Drosophila melanogaster: one gene and its partners. The protein of the gene in region 4 interacts with the protein of the main gene of each other region in a pairwise test. Each region holds a gene or a part of one and is shown on either strand. Other genes may lie near its edges. The genes, in order: Tsp74F, Elovl7, SdhD and Obp57c.

The links.
Region 1: the proteins of Obp57c (region 4) and Tsp74F interact in a two-hybrid assay, tested with the Drosophila melanogaster proteins (one large-scale study listed by BioGRID).
Region 2: the proteins of Obp57c (region 4) and Elovl7 interact in a two-hybrid assay, tested with the Drosophila melanogaster proteins (one large-scale study listed by BioGRID).
Region 3: the proteins of Obp57c (region 4) and SdhD interact in a two-hybrid assay, tested with the Drosophila melanogaster proteins (one large-scale study listed by BioGRID).

The regions. Positions count from the first base shown.
Region 1 is NT_037436.4:17,891,235-17,897,786, reverse strand, and holds Tsp74F (tetraspanin 74F), read left to right. Parts: upstream 1-1,924; 5' UTR 1,925-2,021; intron 2,022-2,574; 5' UTR 2,575-2,756; intron 2,757-4,230; exon of another isoform or gene 4,231-4,335; intron 4,336-4,400; 5' UTR 4,401-4,409; coding exon 4,410-4,487; intron 4,488-4,564; coding exon 4,565-4,756; intron 4,757-4,974; coding exon 4,975-5,070; intron 5,071-5,133; coding exon 5,134-5,430; intron 5,431-5,504; coding exon 5,505-5,552; 3' UTR 5,553-5,967; downstream 5,968-6,552. Other genes in the region: CG7402 (uncharacterized protein), read right to left, coding at 6,433-6,552.
Region 2 is NT_033777.3:7,992,673-7,997,479, forward strand, and holds the start of Elovl7 (ELOVL fatty acid elongase 7), read right to left. Parts: upstream 3,181-4,807; 5' UTR 2,751-3,180; coding exon 2,748-2,750; intron 1-2,747. UniProt on the Drosophila melanogaster protein: Catalyzes the first and rate-limiting reaction of the four reactions that constitute the long-chain fatty acids elongation cycle.
Region 3 is NT_033777.3:23,758,828-23,762,430, forward strand, and holds SdhD (succinate dehydrogenase, subunit D), read right to left. Parts: upstream 1,774-3,603; 5' UTR 1,668-1,773; coding exon 1,625-1,667; intron 1,534-1,624; coding exon 1,418-1,533; intron 1,346-1,417; coding exon 1,158-1,345; intron 1,097-1,157; coding exon 895-1,096; 3' UTR 660-894; downstream 1-659. Other genes in the region: PTPMT1 (protein tyrosine phosphatase, mitochondrial 1), read left to right, coding at 1-91, 151-468, 531-659; udt (undicht), read right to left, coding at 2,154-2,733, 2,792-3,603. UniProt on the Drosophila melanogaster protein: Membrane-anchoring subunit of succinate dehydrogenase (SDH) that is involved in complex II of the mitochondrial electron transport chain and is responsible for transferring electrons from succinate to ubiquinone (coenzyme Q).
Region 4 is NT_033778.4:20,501,645-20,504,816, forward strand, and holds Obp57c (Odorant-binding protein 57c), read left to right. Parts: upstream 1-1,939; 5' UTR 1,940-2,022; coding exon 2,023-2,076; intron 2,077-2,138; coding exon 2,139-2,534; 3' UTR 2,535-2,558; downstream 2,559-3,172. Other genes in the region: Obp57b (Odorant-binding protein 57b), read left to right, coding at 2,622-2,684, 2,748-3,110. UniProt on the Drosophila melanogaster protein: Present in the aqueous fluid surrounding olfactory sensory dendrites and are thought to aid in the capture and transport of hydrophobic odorants into and through this fluid.

The DNA of each region.
Region 1 (6,552 bases), on a different chromosome or scaffold from region 4:
CTCTAAGCTAAAGTAAATTCTATATAATTAACTATTGATAACCTTTCAACTTTCGCAATGCATTATTCACGAGCACTACACATTCCCATAGATTCATTAATTTATTAATGCAATATGCAAATTTTTGATTGATTGAGATAGCTTTTATACGAAGATCAGTAAGTGGCGAAGGCGTAAGTAGAGTTATAGCAGCTATGATAAGTCATGTGAGAATCAAAAATGTTGCATTTGTTGTTTTTTCAATGTTTCACTTTAGTTTGCATCTGATAATGTATGATGCATGTTGCTGTGTTAACTCGGTTGTATGCGCAGTTCGGTTAACATTTTAATTATATCTTCCACTACCAGTAGTCATTTGCTTGCCTTCCCAATTTTTGACTCATTCCAATCAGTTAAAGTGCCACAATTTAACGCTTCTGACGCTTGTCACCTTCGCCGAGCTCAACGAGGCTTTCAACTCGCTCACACTAATCGGATCTCAGTAAGTATAGGTTCATAGGCGAAATTGACTGGCTTAAAATTAAGAATTCCCCATAATATTAATGATTCTTGGCCACTTGAGCAAGAATAACTGAGCACTAGTCGCAAACTTCGATTTCTGAGCAATATTTTATCATGAGGCGCCTGTGGGACGAGTGTGTGGAAATGGATTTTATGGCATCTATAAAACGCAAAAGGTTCCCACAGCGAGTTTATAAGATGCAAAATCAACAGGCAGAGTAATTGTTTTTCTTTTTTTTATGATTTATTTTTATTTTCGCCATGCAACTAACACATTGGTCGGTGATTACGGGGACATGGCGGGTGGTTGTTGTTAACACGGCCATAAAAGTGCTAAACAAGCCAACAATTTGAGCGCTTTTCAACCGTGCTGTGGAGTGTAAGTAGGGAGGGTGAGCTATTCGTCTATCGGCAGCCAACTTTCTGACCTTAGCTTGGAAACTGCTTAAAAAATTACTCAACTCAGCCAAAACTATTTGTTCGACTAACAAGAAAATTAAGCTGTTAATTGCCAAAGGTTGTCCTTCGGCACAGCAATTGAGTTCGACCAGCAAAAGTAACATGAAACACGGATAATAAGCATATTTTCCTTGTGCTCTCTTGGAACACTAAGCCCTTGAAATCAAGAAAGAAAGATAGCCTCGCCAATGTTTGATTTCTTTTCTAATATTTTCAATTAAATTTCGATATTTATACATACATGATACAGAAGACAAATTCACATACTACGAGCAATAAAAAGAAGATTTTTAGAAAAGTTCCAAGCTTTAAAACTATGATTCTAGAATGCGTAAGAAAGGAACGGACTGACAAACTTGGCTTTATCAAGTTGTCTGATCAACACTCGTATATTGAATATAAATATGGTTGCAAATAGATGCAAATGATCCAACTGAAGAAAGAAAACAATCATTACAAATAATCCTTGTTCAAAAAGTATTTAAACTTAAACTGTTATAACAAAACGGTAACCAATTCGGATAGATTTGCCTCCAAAATCAATTATGCGGACATTGCCATGTGCAGACCGAGAACTAAAACAAATATCAAATTTCGTTTGCTTATCAATATTTATATTTTGCAATTGCCCGAAATGAAACAAAGGTGCTGGCTGTGGACGACGGATCATATTTTGTTTGCTCAACGCATTTTCACATGCCGACTCCGCAAAGGGAAGTGTGGGTAAAAGAAGCCGAAAAATAGATGAATAAATAAGAGAGAAGCACGAAAACATTCAGAGAAGTATTTGCGGTTTGTAAGCGAGTAGAGACTCCCATCTCTCTCGCACCTGCAGTGCTAAGCCTTCGAAAACAGGGGCTCAAGTCGAAGTTGTTGTAATGTCGAGAGACCGAGACCAGAAAAAGCCCAACAACGAAGCTCTTTGTGAGCGAAACTAATAAAAAACCGATCGCCCCGACTGTTCCCACAACCAGTTCCAAGCGAGCTCTCGGGCGGTAGAGTCGTCCCTGTCCCACATATAAAACCATAGTATCATAGCTCCCCGGATCCACTCAATCCCTGTAAGGCGAGACTTAGGTCCATCAAGTGAATCGTATAGTTTTATCCCCACGAAATATCCCGACAGTACAGTGATAACTCCGCTAAGGATAATGCTGCCTTGGCAAGCGTGACGTAACTTGAAAAGCAAATGTTAAAAGCAAGGCGGCAAAAAAAAAGTTGTTTGCCATGGGAGAACTGCAATTGACAATAACAGCAACAGCAATCGAATAAAAACTCAATAACAATTATCAACTGCGAGTGACGCTTAAAACAAATGCAAGAAACCTGTATTAAAAAAGTTTCATAAAAATTCGAGAGCAAATATTAACGAATATTGCATAAATTGCTATATGCGTATGTAAACTTTGCGATCTCTTTTGATCTGAATGAAGTGATCTGAATGAAGAATGAACCAAAAATTTAAACAAGTTAATAAAATCGACCGAAAAAATGAATGAATGCGTCTTCATCAAAAAGTTGTTTATAAATAAAAGTGAAATTAAAAACTCTTCTACTTCTTACCACAAAAATGTTAATTGAAAGGGTTAAAATAATTTCCTTCTTTTTTTATAGCCACTCCCAAAGTTTCTGTGCATTCAAGTGCAACTAAAAATAGTAGCCGTTTCTTTTGTTTTGCTTTGTGTTTTTGCAAAACAACAAATTGAAGGCAATTTACATACACAAAGCTGAGAAAGAAAACCGCCAAAATTGGTTACCTAACGAAAACTTCGTTTGTGCTACGGGACGGCAAACTTGTAAGTGAATTTGCTTATTAGATAATATTTCATTTGTTTTAATTAATCATAAATTTCATACAGAGGTCCTTCAAATGCGACCACTTTCCTATTTTCACTGCTATATTTTCAAGCTTCGAGTATAAACAAGGAGTACATATTTCATATTTATAGCCTCGACCGATTCTGCTCACTAACTTTTAAGCTAACATCACCTACAAATAAAGATTACATACGAGTTTTAAACATAAATGACCTAGTAAAGCTATTATTCCTATGATTACAGATAGATAACAGGGTATGAAAGGAGCATAAAAGAGTGAGCTCAGAGTTTAGTAGATAGTACTTAAAAAGTCTGATTTTCTAAGTTTTTCATGAGTGACAGGACTTGGAATCCGAGCTTTAAGTGATCTATTACCATGTGTAGCACGTACAGCTGAACAATTACCATAAACTTAATTGGTCTCAGCTTACAAGCGGCAGATATAGTGATTCGCCCCGCCGCCAACGCCCCGTCATCATTAATGGCGACTTTCGGATGACTTACTGTCATCTCAGGCACGATTCGGATTCGCTTAACATGATAACGTCGAATGAAATATAGTGAATATTCAGATAGTGTGAGAACATTTTTTTAATAGCCCCGCCAATTACCTGGCGAACTCGACTGCGGCTTAACATATTTGAATTTGGAGAATAATGCTCGAAATGAGATGTCGTTTACCAGCTAGTGGGGTGAAGGGGTACCCGACTGCTCAGCCTGCAATTACTTTTAATTAGCATTTAGAACATCGCACTGCGCCAAGATGATTCAGAGCTGGGACGGCACTCGTAGTTAAACCACTACAATTAGCTGACAAATTTTCGGGCAGGCTATTACTTTGATTTATTTGTTTTGATCGCTCCAACTTCAACGGGGGGAATTCGTCTCGGAATCGCCGCGCAGCGAACCCTTCAAGTGGGCCTAATGCGATGTAAGTAACCAAAAAAAAAAAAAAAAACGCGAGTCTTTAGAGCCGTAACTGACAAAATCCACAAGACGTTGGCAGCCACCGCCGATAATGAACGCTTGTCTAGGCACATAGCGTTGGCAGCTTCGCTGCTCAGTCGCAGTTCCATAAAGTGGGTCATGGTTAAGTGTACTTCGGTCGCTTCGCGGTTCGGACCCGGCTTAGAAAGAGCGAAACGTTCGGCCGAAACCACAGCTGCGCATGCGCATGCGCATGCGCACCACTCGCCAAGCCGAACACCATTGATAGGCAGCCCATATGTTGGAGTGAATCTTACGCGAAAGAAACTCGTTAAAAAGTACATTCTTGAGATTACATCACATTGCAATAGAGAGTAGGCCAAAAATAGCTAATTTGAAATCGGGATGATGAGTTATGATTAACTTGGTTATCGCTAAGGACCTGTTGAAATTGAATGATCTCTAAGAACTTTAACTTAATTAAAGCATAGTGTGAAATTATTTTTATCTGTCTTTGGATTATAGAGTTGTATCGCCATCAAGAACCTCTGCATCTCATCCTACCCCAAATTCCCTGCATAATTCTCCTCGCATCAATATCCTCTGGGGGCTCTTCACCTGTAGACAAAAGTAAACAATGTGAAATCTTTTTATCCCATTGAATTGGTTAATTGAAATGTATTATCCTTTCAAAGGAAGACGATATGGGCTTCAGTTCGCGAATGGACTGCTGCGGGCAGTTCGTCAAGTACAGTCTTTTCATAGCCAACTTTGTGATATTCGTGAGTATCCAGGAGTCGCTTGAATTAAAAAACAATTTAAGAGAAATAAATAATACCAAAATATATGTATTTTCCAGGTGGGTGGAGCGATTGTGTTTTGTCTCACCCTGTGGACTCTGGTGGATCGGAGTTTCGTCAATGAGTTGCTCGGTACAAATCTTTTCTCGGGTGCTGTCTACGTCCTGCTGGTTACATCGATTATCATTTGTCTGGTGTCCTTTTTGGGTTGTGTTGGTGCCGGAAAAGAAGTCAAATGCCTCCTCCTAACAGTAAGTAAACAACAAACAATAAAAACAAAAATTTCATTTTATTAAATAATTAACTTTGTCCTTTTTGGAGTAATCATATCTGGATTTGCATATTTACAAAGATACCATCTAAAGAAATGATCTATTTGATTTAATCTTCTAAATGTTGTCAGTCTCTTCTTTACTATTATGCAAACACCATTTAGCTAAAAAATTAACCACTCGTTTTCCCTTTGCAGTATTTCATAATAGTGGCCCTAGTTTTCGTGACCATGCTAATTGGCGGTGTCTTGGGTTACGTGTTCCGCGAACGAGTTCAGCAGACCATGCGGCAGGTGAGGCAAATCCATCGATAACAACACGTGGGTGGCACATTAACCCTTACCAATATCCCATAGGAAATGCGTTCCACGATGGCACTATACGGAAGCAGGAGGGAGATCACCCAGGCCTGGGATTTGACCCAGGAGCGACTACAGTGCTGCGGAGTGGATACGTGGCACGACTGGAATAGGTACGGACCAGTGCCTGAGTCCTGTTGCCAGGAGCTTTTCGGTGGACAGCGTAAGGAGTGCACAATCTTCCCGACCATTACGAATCTGTACAACCAGGGATGCCTCTATGTGACGACCAACTTCATCAGGGATCACGCGGCGGTTATTGGAGGTACATCCATAGCGGTGGCCATACTGATGGTAAGTGAACGCCTTTCTTCGGTAGCAAAATTATTATATAATATATAATTAATTGGAATTTGGTTTATTTTTAGATCTTTGGCATGATATTCTCCTGTCTACTATTCAATATGATCGAATAGCGCCAACGAGGAGGGGAATCCCATGGTCACGCAGGAAAATCAGATACCAAGGTCCACAGTCCAGAAGAAACACATTTTTAAACATAATTCGCTGGAGTTAAATTAAGAGTATTATCTGAGTGTATGCTAATGTTAGATCTGCACAGATCAACTGTCCGCTTGTATTATGTATTGTATTGTATGTATATACGTGTTTAGATACGCATAACTAGTGAGTATTGAACTTAGTAGGGATTCTATTGTTATTATCTGTTGCATAAATTTGTATTATTTGTGTGAAGTTTTGTAAATTTCCTCTTAAGCCACCGTTATCAACAACCCATTACAATTGCTAGTTTTAAGTGAGCTTTTCAATACTTAATAGAGAATTTAGATGTCTGTCCATTGTTGTTTTCAATAAAAATTAGTTAAAACCAAATACTTCGGAAATGTTTATATATATTAATATTTTTTATTTTTAATCCAATTATCATTAAACGATATGTTGTGATATGAGTATAAAAAAAAAACGAAAAAGGATAAATATTTAAAATGATCTGGTCCATGAAATATGTCCATGTTACGTAAAAATTTGTATTTAAAAAACGGTTTAAAGTATTAAACTGTTTTTGATCGAAGCTTTAATCTACATGCAATATTGTTGCATATTTTTAGGTTTTTTTTGTCTTAAGTCACATTTTTGAAGCGGGAAAATAGGGAAAGTATGGATCACGCTGTGACCTGAAGGTGTTTACAAAGTGAATTATCATCAGATAATATAACAACTTTTATGTTATTTAACTGAAAATAAGTTCGCACTCAAGCGACTTTAAAGATTTGAATAAAAAAGTATTTTCTTTAATTAACTTTTATTAAAAATTATTCTACTAAGAACTTACAGCTACAACAGATTTCTGTATACTAAGCCTATAATACTACCCATCGCAAGCCATAAATTGATGGAGAAGGTGCCGGAACCTGATTGCGTATCCGTATTATTCCACCACTCCCAGTTTCCGTT
Region 2 (4,807 bases), on a different chromosome or scaffold from region 4:
TATGCAATTCGAATTGGGAATGTCGAACTTTGGTTTTCGTCCCTGCTGCCATTTCCCAGCCTAAAGTTCTCTGCCCCCAAGCCCGTAAATCACTAGCCACACAATTAAACAAGCAATGACTTTTAGCTCCTCAATCACTTTACATTCGCGTATTTATCAGGTTGTTTCTGTCCACTAATTTAAATTTTGCTTTAGCCCCACAATGTTGATGTTGATTTAATTATTTTGTGTTCGGATTAAATGTGTCGAAAATATATTACTGCAAATGCGTTCGTTGCTTTAAAATGGAATTTATTTGTAATTTATTGTTGTACGACAAGGAAATTATTTAGAAAATATTATTAAACATTTTTAAAATACTTAAAAACAAAATCGAACAACTTTAGCACCTAAGTCCCATCTAAATTCGCACTAATGGAAATATGTTTAATCACGAATTCGGTATGACAGCATGGCCCACTAAATAATTTAATTTATACAAATAAATTCATCCAACCGACCCAGTTTAAAGCGACAAATATGTATAAATTAATTGTTTTTTCGGGAACGAAGAGTTTGTATAAAATTGCAAAAAAAAAAAGGCACTCAAAGAGCTGTAAAATATGCAAGCCAGCGTGTTTGAATAATAATTTAAAAGCTGTTATTTTTAGTGTTTTTAACACCTTTACTGGCATAACTTTTCTGTCTAATCTCCAACGAGCAATAATTGAATTTCAAATGACACTTACTTCAATCACGGGCCGATAAGAGTCCATAAATGTAATCATTTTCAGGTACTCTCCGTTTAATGGTCTCTTTACGTTTATCTACCTCGAATTCCTCTCTTCGCTTGCGTTATCAGTTTTTAAGTGTTAATTTGCTCGGGAATATACACAGCCAGTAAAAAAATTGCTGAGAGACACGCACTTTTTTTATGTAGAACAATAAACCTTTGCCCAAATGGCATATTCGCAATTGAAGTGAACGAAGACTAGCTAGCTACTGAGAAAATCGCGCATACGCCGTGTGGAGCCAAACAAATCGAAATGGAGCAGCGAATGCACTGCGATTTCAGTCACATGCGGCAAGCGTTATCTCACACACACACACACACACACACACACACACACTAAGTACTAAGAGGGCACTCTGCCTATGGTTTTGTGTTTACTATATGCTCTCTACATGATTCTCTTACCAAAAAACAGCTGAGTGCCGAGCGGCAGTCAACAATAAAGCGACGTCAATGCGTCTGAGACTGGCTCTCCAATGTAGCTAACTGGCCCACAGGGAATGCAAGCAAATCGGCTGATTAAGGCACATTTTTTTTTATTATGATCACTTGGCGGGGGCTGCGCAGTTTGGCAGCTGGGTGGCAGTGGCTCTGGCTCCAACAAGCAGCCTCAAACAACCCAGACCCGATAGCCCATAGCCGCCCATAGCCAACTGGCAACTAGTAAAATTCGCCGCCAGCGCCTTTGCACTTTTCAGTGTCAAAAGAGGCAACACAAAAATGCGGCAAAAGTCCCAGTCGAAAATAAAATCGAGGTGTAATAATCATTGTGTAAGAGGCCAAAAGGAGAAGAAAACAACTCGAAGATTTGAATAAGTTTCGATTTCTGGGTTGCCTGCTTATTTTTTTTTTTCTTTTTTTTTTTTTTTTGTGAAATGGTGCAATGCCAGTGATCATTAGCCAGCGGTAGTAGCGGCGGCGATTGGTTAACCCACTGGGGTTTTTTCTCTCGAATTTGCAGAGCTGCTGAATGAATATGAAAATCACTGGATTTCTACACAGCAGCAGCATCTGCAATGATGGGCCGAAAGCATAAGTAAGGTGGACGGGACAAATGAGTCGGCCTGGCCCTGACTGGCTATCATTTCACCTGCGCTCCGATCGCCAGTTATCCCATATCCCCGGCCGAGATTCAAGGTCAGCGATGCACTGCATTTCCGTGTGAAATGTTGTCATGCCAGTGAGCTGGTGAGCTGGTGAGCTGGTGAGCTGGTGAGCTGGTGGGCTAGTGAGCTGGTCAAAGCCAAAAGCCAGCCTTCACTTCACTTGACCGCCAGCCAGTGATGTTGCTGGTGTAAGTGCTGCTGCTGCAACTGCGGACATAACACAGCGACAGCTTCGAAATAAGTGCAGCACTTGCAGTTTCTGTATGCACTTTTGGCGGAGCTCGAAAGCGAATGGCTCTAGCAAAACAGAACAGAGCAAAACGCTCATGTTTTGTGGCAGAAAGCGGGGGAAAAGTGGGCGAAAAGCGTGGAAAGGTCTGCGCGGAGTCGGCAAAAATGCATTTGGGAAAAAACAGTGGAAAACCTTGCTAGCGAATGTGTACTTGAAAACGAAAACCAGTTGCTGGCGTGCGGTTTTTTTCCATTTCCAAAGAAAACGAATAAGAACCAGGAATGGCTGGTGCTCGAGAGGTTTTCTCGATTAATAATTTGCTCAATTAATTTTAACGGCTGCATTGCGGATATTCATTATAGGAGCTTTATTTATTTTTTTTTTTATTATTAATTTCTTGCTTAATAGCAGCAGCAGCACACACGAGTCGTGTGCAAAGGGTCATTTGTGGGTTGTGGGATTTAACGGAAAGCCCAAGTCAACGTACGATCATGTATATTTATTTATTCAGGCTTGCATGTTGGGGGTCGGCATCGAAATTACTGGTTGCAAAGGCATTTTAATAAAGGAGGTTTCAGTGGCATCAATTTTCCGTTGAGTCACACTGGGTGTTCGGTCGGGAACCCCCGCTACTTACCATTGTGCTAAAATTCGCTTCAACAGGTACTAAATGCGCGTTTATATTCCGTTTGTTACAAGGAAGCGTACTGTATTTATTTATTTTTTCTTTTTTTTTTTTTTGACTAATTTACAGAGATTCTCTCGACTTTGGTATACGAATTATCACTTTTTAGCGCACTATCCTTGTTCGTTTCGTTTCGTTTTTTTTTTTCGTTTTTCTTGCTTGTAGGTTTTTAGTTATTGTTTTACACACGCACACACTGTTTGACCATCGTTATACGGTTTTATGGTTTCTACATCACTGTTGCGGGGAACTGCTGCTGATGCTACTGCTGATGCGACCGATCTGCCGCTGCTGCTGCTCCGCTGGACTTTACTGGACAACAACTGGACAGCGACTGGGCGAGCGTGCGCTTTTTACATTCAAATCAAAAACACTGAAATAAGTTTGATTTCACGCTGCCGCTTTACTTTTATACCGCCTCGCAGTCGTAGGAGCGGACTTGGCGCAGACGTCGACGCAGATCGTCGGCGCCGCCGACCGCTCATTTTCGGCGAGCGTGGCGATGGCGCTGGCGTTGAGGTGAGCCGAAGTCGAAAGCTTCGGTCGCTAGCCACAGGTTCTGAGCAACAGGTTGTCGATGTGTGCTCTCGCTCTGACAGCCGAAGCGATCGGGTCGGGCGTCAGGATGCCAGAGCGAGAGCGAGATCGGCCAGCGGCCCTTTGGAATCGAATTCTTGGTATCCACCAGTGGGGGTATCACCCGCCTTTGCACCCACACCCAAGTGCGGCGCTAATTGCCGCCAATCCAAATATCGGAGCGGTACTTTTGCCGCGTCTTGGCAGCGCGCATGATTGCACAGTTCAAAGTTCGGCAAGAATGTCCGTTAATTAACCCCTGCCCAGGCCCGGCCCTTCATATCGGAAAAGTGTGCAAAAATTAACGTAGCCACAAATCAAATCAAATCAAATCAAATCACGGCGAGGGAGAGCGGCGGAAAGGTTGCCAGCAACAAAGCCCAATCTTTGGATACGTATGCGGTAAAAAGCAGAAGAAGATGGGGCTGACCAAACCAGTTTGCCTCTTGGGCTCTTAAATATTTATAATGACCAATACTTGGCTTTCCTCCGTTTGCCTTCGTGATGGCCAATAAATGGCCAAAATGCGCCGTGAACTTCTGAAACATACAAATTCCCGAATGGGAAAAGCGGCTACCGAGACCTGGATGTTGCAGGCAACCTGGCGGATACTTAATATTTCGGAGGACCCGACGCTTACTTGTTATTTGTGCAAGCTTGAAACGTTACGTAGTCGATTTTTGTGAGCTAAGCAATTAGATCGAACTTTGACAGCGGCTTGGTTGACGATTTACTTACCCTCAATTAACGACCCTTCAACTACCTTTATTCTAATTTACCTGCTAAAAATCTCACCATTACCCTGCACTTTTGATGCGTTTTTCGACAAAAAACCCAAGCAATGCAACAAAGCAAACATTTGCATTTTTCGTCTCAAAGTCCGCTGCATGGCCGCCGAGCACAAGATCTTTTTGCGGAATTCTAACCGAATAACACGTAACTGACCATGTAATCTAGCCGCGCCAAATTTACATGTGCAAACAGTCGGCGGGGGAGACGATGAATATGTATAGACATGTCGCCCTAAGCTGATCCCATCTCACAGATCCGAAACACGCGTCTGCCATATTGGGGGAAGTATGAATACGATCGATTCAAGGGCTTTCTAGTGGCTGTATGACTAGAGGAAAAGCTCACGATGAATTGACCATGCTAGATCAGAATGATCCTCCTTATATGGACAGAGATGGCAGGTAATATTTCCGCTTGCTCTGAAATTTTCCATTTGATCATCAGAATTTAGACTGCGACTGTACTCACCAGACATGGATATGTTTTTCCCAGTTAGAATGCACTTCACTAGTCCTTTAACTAATGCCGCGCACGACAATATATTGTAACACAAGTTTTAGGTGCCGGCAAGCCACGCCTAGTTGTAAAATTTATGTGAACAAAAAATCAAAATAAATAAGCACTTTATACCCAGAGATTCAACC
Region 3 (3,603 bases), on a different chromosome or scaffold from region 4:
GATGGAAAAGGCATCGGCCAGGAATTGGTACGATCGCATCGATGAGCATGTGATACTGGGAGCACTGCCCTTTCGCAGCCAGGCCAATGACGTAAGTATCCCCACGGAACCAAGCCTGAAATCCTTCTAAATCCTTGTTTAACCGCTCAGCTCATTGAAAAGGAGAACATGAAGGCGGTGGTGTCGATGAACGAGGACTATGAGCTGACCGCCTTCTCCAACAACACGGAGAAGTGGCGAAAGCTTGGCATTGAGTTCCTGCAGCTGGCCACCACCGACATCTTTGAGTCGCCCAATCAAGAAAAGCTCTTCCGCGGCGTGGAATTCATAAACAAGTTCCTGCCTCTAAAGCAAAGAATTGGTGGCCTAAGTTCCTCCTACCAGCCGGAGAACGTGGGTTCTGTCTATGTGCACTGCAAGGCTGGTAGGACGCGAAGTGCCACTTTGGTGGGATGCTACCTCATGATGGTGGGTTGGTTATCTATTTGCACGTAGCTCTTAAAAAAAAGCTCACAACTTATCCTTTGCAGAAGAACGGATGGACTCCGGATCAGGCGGTTGACCACATGCGTAAGTGCCGACCGCACATTCTGCTGCACACCAAACAATGGGATGCCCTCCGGTTATTCTACACAAACAATGTGGAGACGAAATCATGACCAAACCTGGACAATAGCCCAAATTTATTGTTTACAGTAGATTACCATACGTAACAAAGGTGGTGCCTGTTACCCAACTACTTTAGTGCTGATTTTCTTGTTGAATATACAATTTTCTACAAAACCCGCTCTGTGCAGCTGTGACTTTTTACAATTCTTTATTTAATGCTTATCGCGAAACTATGAATAAATAACTGGTGTTTCGTGGTTCATCAACTGATTGCTCCTTTGACATTTAAGCCTTCTCGGCATCCTTGCCCTTGATGGCCCAGAAGCGCTTGATACCATTGGCCAGACCCACATCATTTTGGATGAAGTAGAAGAGGCCGCCCAGCGTGGCCACCGAGATGATGATCAGCGCAATGTGGGCTACCTTGGGCAGGACGTTTCCAACGACAGATGGCCGCATGTAGTCAACTACCATGGCCTCCACGCCCCTGCGTTTGGTGAATGAGGAAAATATAAGTAAAGGTTTAATTTTCCTCAAGGATATCTTACCAATGGGTGTGGATGACGACAGAGATGGCCATGAGGGCGTCCAATACCTGGGATGGAGCTATGAAGGCAGCTGGAATGACGGCCAGTAGGCCGGCGGACACAATTCGCTCCACAGTCCAGAGCAGGGTGTGGCTGGATCCAGCGGAAGCCATGCGGGGCGCACTCACGGAGATCTCGCGCACGACGGGCTGCATAAGCAGTCGAGGATTACCATTTAGTATGATTAGCCACCACTGAATTTTTCAACTCTAAACACTTACCGCTACAATCTTGGCCACGGCCAGGGGCTGGACCACCGCCTTCCGCTGGACATTGGCCACCAGGGTGGAGTAGCTCTTCAGGGGAGTGATGCGAGCCGACTTAACAAGATTTGCGGCTAATTGGGATACCAACAAACGGTTTGGTTATATAATGAAAGCTGTTTTGCGTCCAATAACAAGGCGATTTGCCATCCAGTGGGTCCTTACCATTGCAACGGACAGCGCCACGCAGAAGCAACGAGAGGGACATGTTGGGATGTGTAAATATTGAGAATTTTCAGCTCAAAATAAAAACTCTATCGCTCCGTTCGGTTTGGGCCGATTTGTCTAAAAAATTACACAGCACTGGGCTAGTGCAGTCAGCTGTCATCGATTTGTTATCGGTAAACAGTAGCGGTCAAGATATTGTCCCACAATAATAAGGGAAGCCCAGTAAAATATTTTGAACTCAACAAACAATTAAAGGGTGTAATAAATAATAAGAAAACATTTAGTTCAAGGCATTTATTTAACTGCTTTAATTATTTGCACAATACATTTGAGATTCGTTTGGGACGGAATGGCTGTTACACGTAAAAATTGTGATGATCTTACAAACTAAGTTTAAAATTTGCTTAAAACTTTCTAAAATTCGCATTCTAAGGCACGCAATTGCTCCTAAAAGTGACTTTATGTTGGTTGTAAAATTTTTGTAAATTTCGTTGGATGGAATAGTTAAAAAATACTTTTGATATTATTAAGCTAATAAACTCCTAACCTGGACTAAGACCACGATAACGAGGCCAGTCAGTTGAAATTTTAGTGTCGCTGCTCCTGCTCGGTAAAAGTCCCAATCAAATATGATGTTGGAGGCATCCGACGGCTTCCAAGGATTCAATCCGTCATCGAAGTGCATGGGACAGTCGTCACGCTCCCTTTCGTACTCCACGGCATCGATGGCTACGGCAGCGCCCTCCGAGTGGTTCCACGAGGTCACATCTTGCTCCAGTTTGCAGAATGCGCCCACAGCCTGCGACATGAGGACACGGTTGAGGTCGGCACGCTGATAGACCCAGCAGCGATACTTGGACAGCGGATCCAAATCGTCGTACGTAATCAGGTAGGACTTGAGGTTCTCCTTCCAGAAGCCAATGCACTTCATGCGGTAATCGGGATCACTGTAGATATCAACGGGACGACCCAAGTGATCCACCGACAGGCAATAGTTTTCATCCACCGCCAATTCCTTTTGATCTGTATCGCAAACCGATAAATCCGAGATGTTTTGCTTGCAATGGATATCGGGACGCGGACTCAGAGTGACACCACCAAGAATTCTGTGAAATATACACATTAATTATACGTTTCATGCTACGATTGCAAAACATTACAAACCTCGTTCTGAAGGGATGCTCTCCTCGCTGCGTAAAGTTGAATTTTCCCGCAACGGGGCAACGAACAGGCACAGGATTTCGAGCAAGAAACAGATCATATTTCCATGCCTCCGAATTGGGGAACTGAACCCAAGAGCAGACTGTACTAAAATCGTCCTTGATCACAGCCAAACCCTTGCGGTAGCGAATGATGTTGTGGTGGCGGGGCATAAAGTCAAAGCACACGTAATCCTTCTGGCAACCGTCGACAGTGAGGCGAGCCATCATCACACGATTACCCCGTCGCTCTCGGCAAACATAGATTGTCTTTCGGTATCGAGCTTTATCCGGATAGTACGTCTCGTTTATGTGGGTCTCACTGATCGAGACATCGGCATCAATGTTGGCAGTGTTCACCCATTCTCCGCTAAAGTTTTGTGGTAGCGTGCAACCGGGTTCCACAAACTCAGCCTTCACTGGCGTCAGCTTTAGACGCTCCGGTGACGTTTCTGGCGTCTTCAGTGTGTTACATTCGGCCGTAATGGAAACGCCCACGTAAAGATCATCGTCACGATTCTTAAGGAAGCAGCGGTACTTCTCATCCTTACGCGACTCCTTTGTGTTGGCCACGGCAAAGTAGTGGTTCTTGCCCACAAACCAATCGCCCAGGCAGCTGAACTCCACGGTGCCGGTGAATGTGCCCTCCATACCCTCGCACTGCTGATAGGTGACGTTGAACTTCTGGTTCTGGATGAGGAACTGCGTTCCTGCCGTTTGACAGGACTGAATGCGAGCGTCGGGCTTATCGCATACGCCCGTGAATCGGAATCGGTT
Region 4 (3,172 bases):
TTGCATCTTCCAGGATGTGAACCCACTTCCCGGACTTTGTTTGTCTTGGAGAAGCGATTCACACCCCAGTGGTTTCGTCGAGAACGGCACCTAACTGGCAATGCTATGAACTTGGCAGCTGACTATGCTGCTCTCCATTTCGAACTAATTGATAAATGTATACTACTTAGTGGTTCTCTATACTGAAACGAACGTGGGAAACCTGGTCATTGTCGTTGGCAAGCTGCGGGATTCTGGTTCGTTCATTAATTTGTTGCAATTTCTTGGCGAAGTCAAAGTCTCGGCTCAGTTGCAGAAGATGCTTCGGTTATGCAATGGCTACGCCACCGACATCCCTTAACATTTTACGCATTTTTCCAGAAATTCCATTGTGTTGCTGCACGTGCCAAAATGTATTTGGGCGGGCTTTTGTTGGGGTGGGCGTGGCATCAAAGTGCATGCAAAATACGTGACATGCATATTGAAGTCACTTACTATTTATTTTTATTACGCAAAGCAGCCAGAACTTTTTACACATATTTTTTTTTTACTAGTTCTCCTTTTGTTGTGGCAACTTTTCCGGAAAGGTATCAGCGGCAACAGCTGAAAAAGAGGGAAAAATAGGGAAAGAAAACTACACCAGCTCCCCCTGACATGTTTAATAAATGGCAGTAGCTGTCAGAGGAAAGTCAGAGTTTTTTCTTGTTAACCTTCATTGAAACTTTACTGAAGTGAAGGTTCAATACTTATAATTTTTGCGTGGGCTCATTAAATTTCAAAAAGTTTGATATTCAATTACCATTAGGCAGAAATAATGCCAAATTTATGAAATCCATTAAATCTGATTTCGATTCGAACATCCGCATTATTTCACATTTCCATTGTGCATGTCGACCTGTGAATTATGCCTACTGCTTATCGACCCAGAAACATTTCATAGGACTAATTAGCGTCCAACGAAATCAAATTTCGCCCTAATAAACCCATAACAGCGATATCGTGTTTCGCGAAAATGCCAAATTTTCATAAAACCTCAAAAATTGATGGGCTGAGAAATAGGCAAAATGGCATCGCAATTATGCAGCAGGACTTGACAGGACTAGAAGCGACAGGCTGGGTCAGCCGAGGACACAGTTTAGCACCTAGCTATGACCATAAAAATTTGTAATTTTCCCCAACACATATTTCCTTTTTGGCAACCGTCCAAAGTATGCAGCGTGAAAAGAAAGAGGGCAAAAATAAGAAAAAAATTGTTCAGGCCGTAAATAACCAAAGTAAACAACGCGACAAGCGGTTTGGCGGAGCAGGAGGTCGCTGGAAAAGAGCAGACAAAGTCCCGGCCGCAAAAGCCAAAACTCACTGCGAATGTGAATATTCTTGGAATTTTCATTTGTTGTCTACAGTTGCATGGGGTTGCATAGTTAGGAATGTCTTTTCTCCAAAAAAAAAAAAAAAAAAAAAAAAAACTGTAGTCAAACCAAACCAAACCATTCCAAACTAAAACCCCCTTTTCCACCCACTGTCAACGCAATTTGTCGCTTTGTGTTGCTCCTGCCGCTGCAGTTGTCGCTTCATTTTTGCAACAAAAGTGTTGCAAAATATGTTGACAGGAAATGTTATGCGAATTTCACTGCGTATAAAATGAAATTTACGTGCAACTTTGCACAGTGTGTGTGTTTAGTTTTGCCGGAAAAGCTTTGGTGGCCGGCCTTTAAAAATTGTAAGAGTATATAATTGCCAATGAAAATCAATCATTGGATTCGAGCTCAATGCAAGCTGATTCAGTTCCGAGTTTTGAGACTCAATTAAATGCACGACAGATCGTACTTCCAACTGGCTCATATTGTGTACAGTAACCAGTTGATCGCAATTAACTAGCTAACTAGATACAGATAAGCTAGACGCCATAAATTAGCCACAAGCCAGTGTGTATAAAATTCAGAACCGCCTTTCTGCGAGTAACAGTTTATCGTGAGGTGCTACTGTGCTAGGAAAACCCATGTCCATATTTATCTTGAAACAGATTCTGCGAATCGTTAGATAATGCTTAAGCTATGGCTAATATGTATCTTGACTGTCAGCGTGGTCTCCATACAGGTAATCACATCTGAGGTCTGTTTCATATGGCAGTTAATTGGAAAGTATGGTTTTTATTATAGAGTCTCTCACTTCTGGAGGAAACCAATTACGTGTCAGATTGCCTGGCCAGCAATAACATCAGCCAGGCTGAATTCCAGGAACTCATCGATCGCAACAGCTCCGAAGAGGATGACCTCGAGAATACCGACAGAAGATACAAATGCTTCATCCATTGCCTAGCGGAGAAGGGAAATCTTTTGGATACCAATGGCTATTTGGATGTGGATAAAATTGATCAAATTGAGCCCGTGAGCGATGAACTGCGAGAGATACTCTACGATTGCAAGAAAATCTACGATGAGGAAGAAGATCATTGCGAATATGCGTTTAAGATGGTGACTTGTCTAACTGAAAGCTTCGAGCAGAGCGATGAGGTCACCGAAGCGGGTAAAAATACAAACAAATTAAACGAATAATCGGTCTAAAACTGGTCAAGCAACTTAATCGCAATTGTTTTATGCCAGCGGGAAATTCACAAGCAACTGTTTAGTTTCATTTCTACAATGTTCATCTACAGACTTGTATTTATTGCGCCTCTGATTTTGTTATTGTTCAGCTTGGCCAAGGTGGGATTGATATTTATATTTGACTAAGCTTTTGATTTATTTTCAACAAACTACAATATATAGGCTCGCCACCCCTTTGATATATTTCATTGGAATTGGCAAGACTTTCAGGAGTGTCTACAAGTTAATAATATTACCATAGGAGAATATGAGAAATACGCGCGACACGAAACTTTGGATTACCTGCTCAACGAGAAAGTCGACTTGAGGTACAAGTGCAATATTAAATGTCAGCTGGAAAGGGATTCAACGAAATGGTTGAATGCTCAAGGCAGAATGGATTTGGATTTGATGAATACGACCGATAAGGCATCCAAATCCATTACCAAGTGCATGGAGAAGGCTCCCGAAGAACTTTGTGCGTACAGTTTTAGACTGGTGATGTGTGCATTTAAGGCTGGCCATCCCGTAATTGATTCGGAATAAATGTCAATAATTTAAATATATGGAAACAATCAAAGTACTACAATTTCCACACATAACTCACA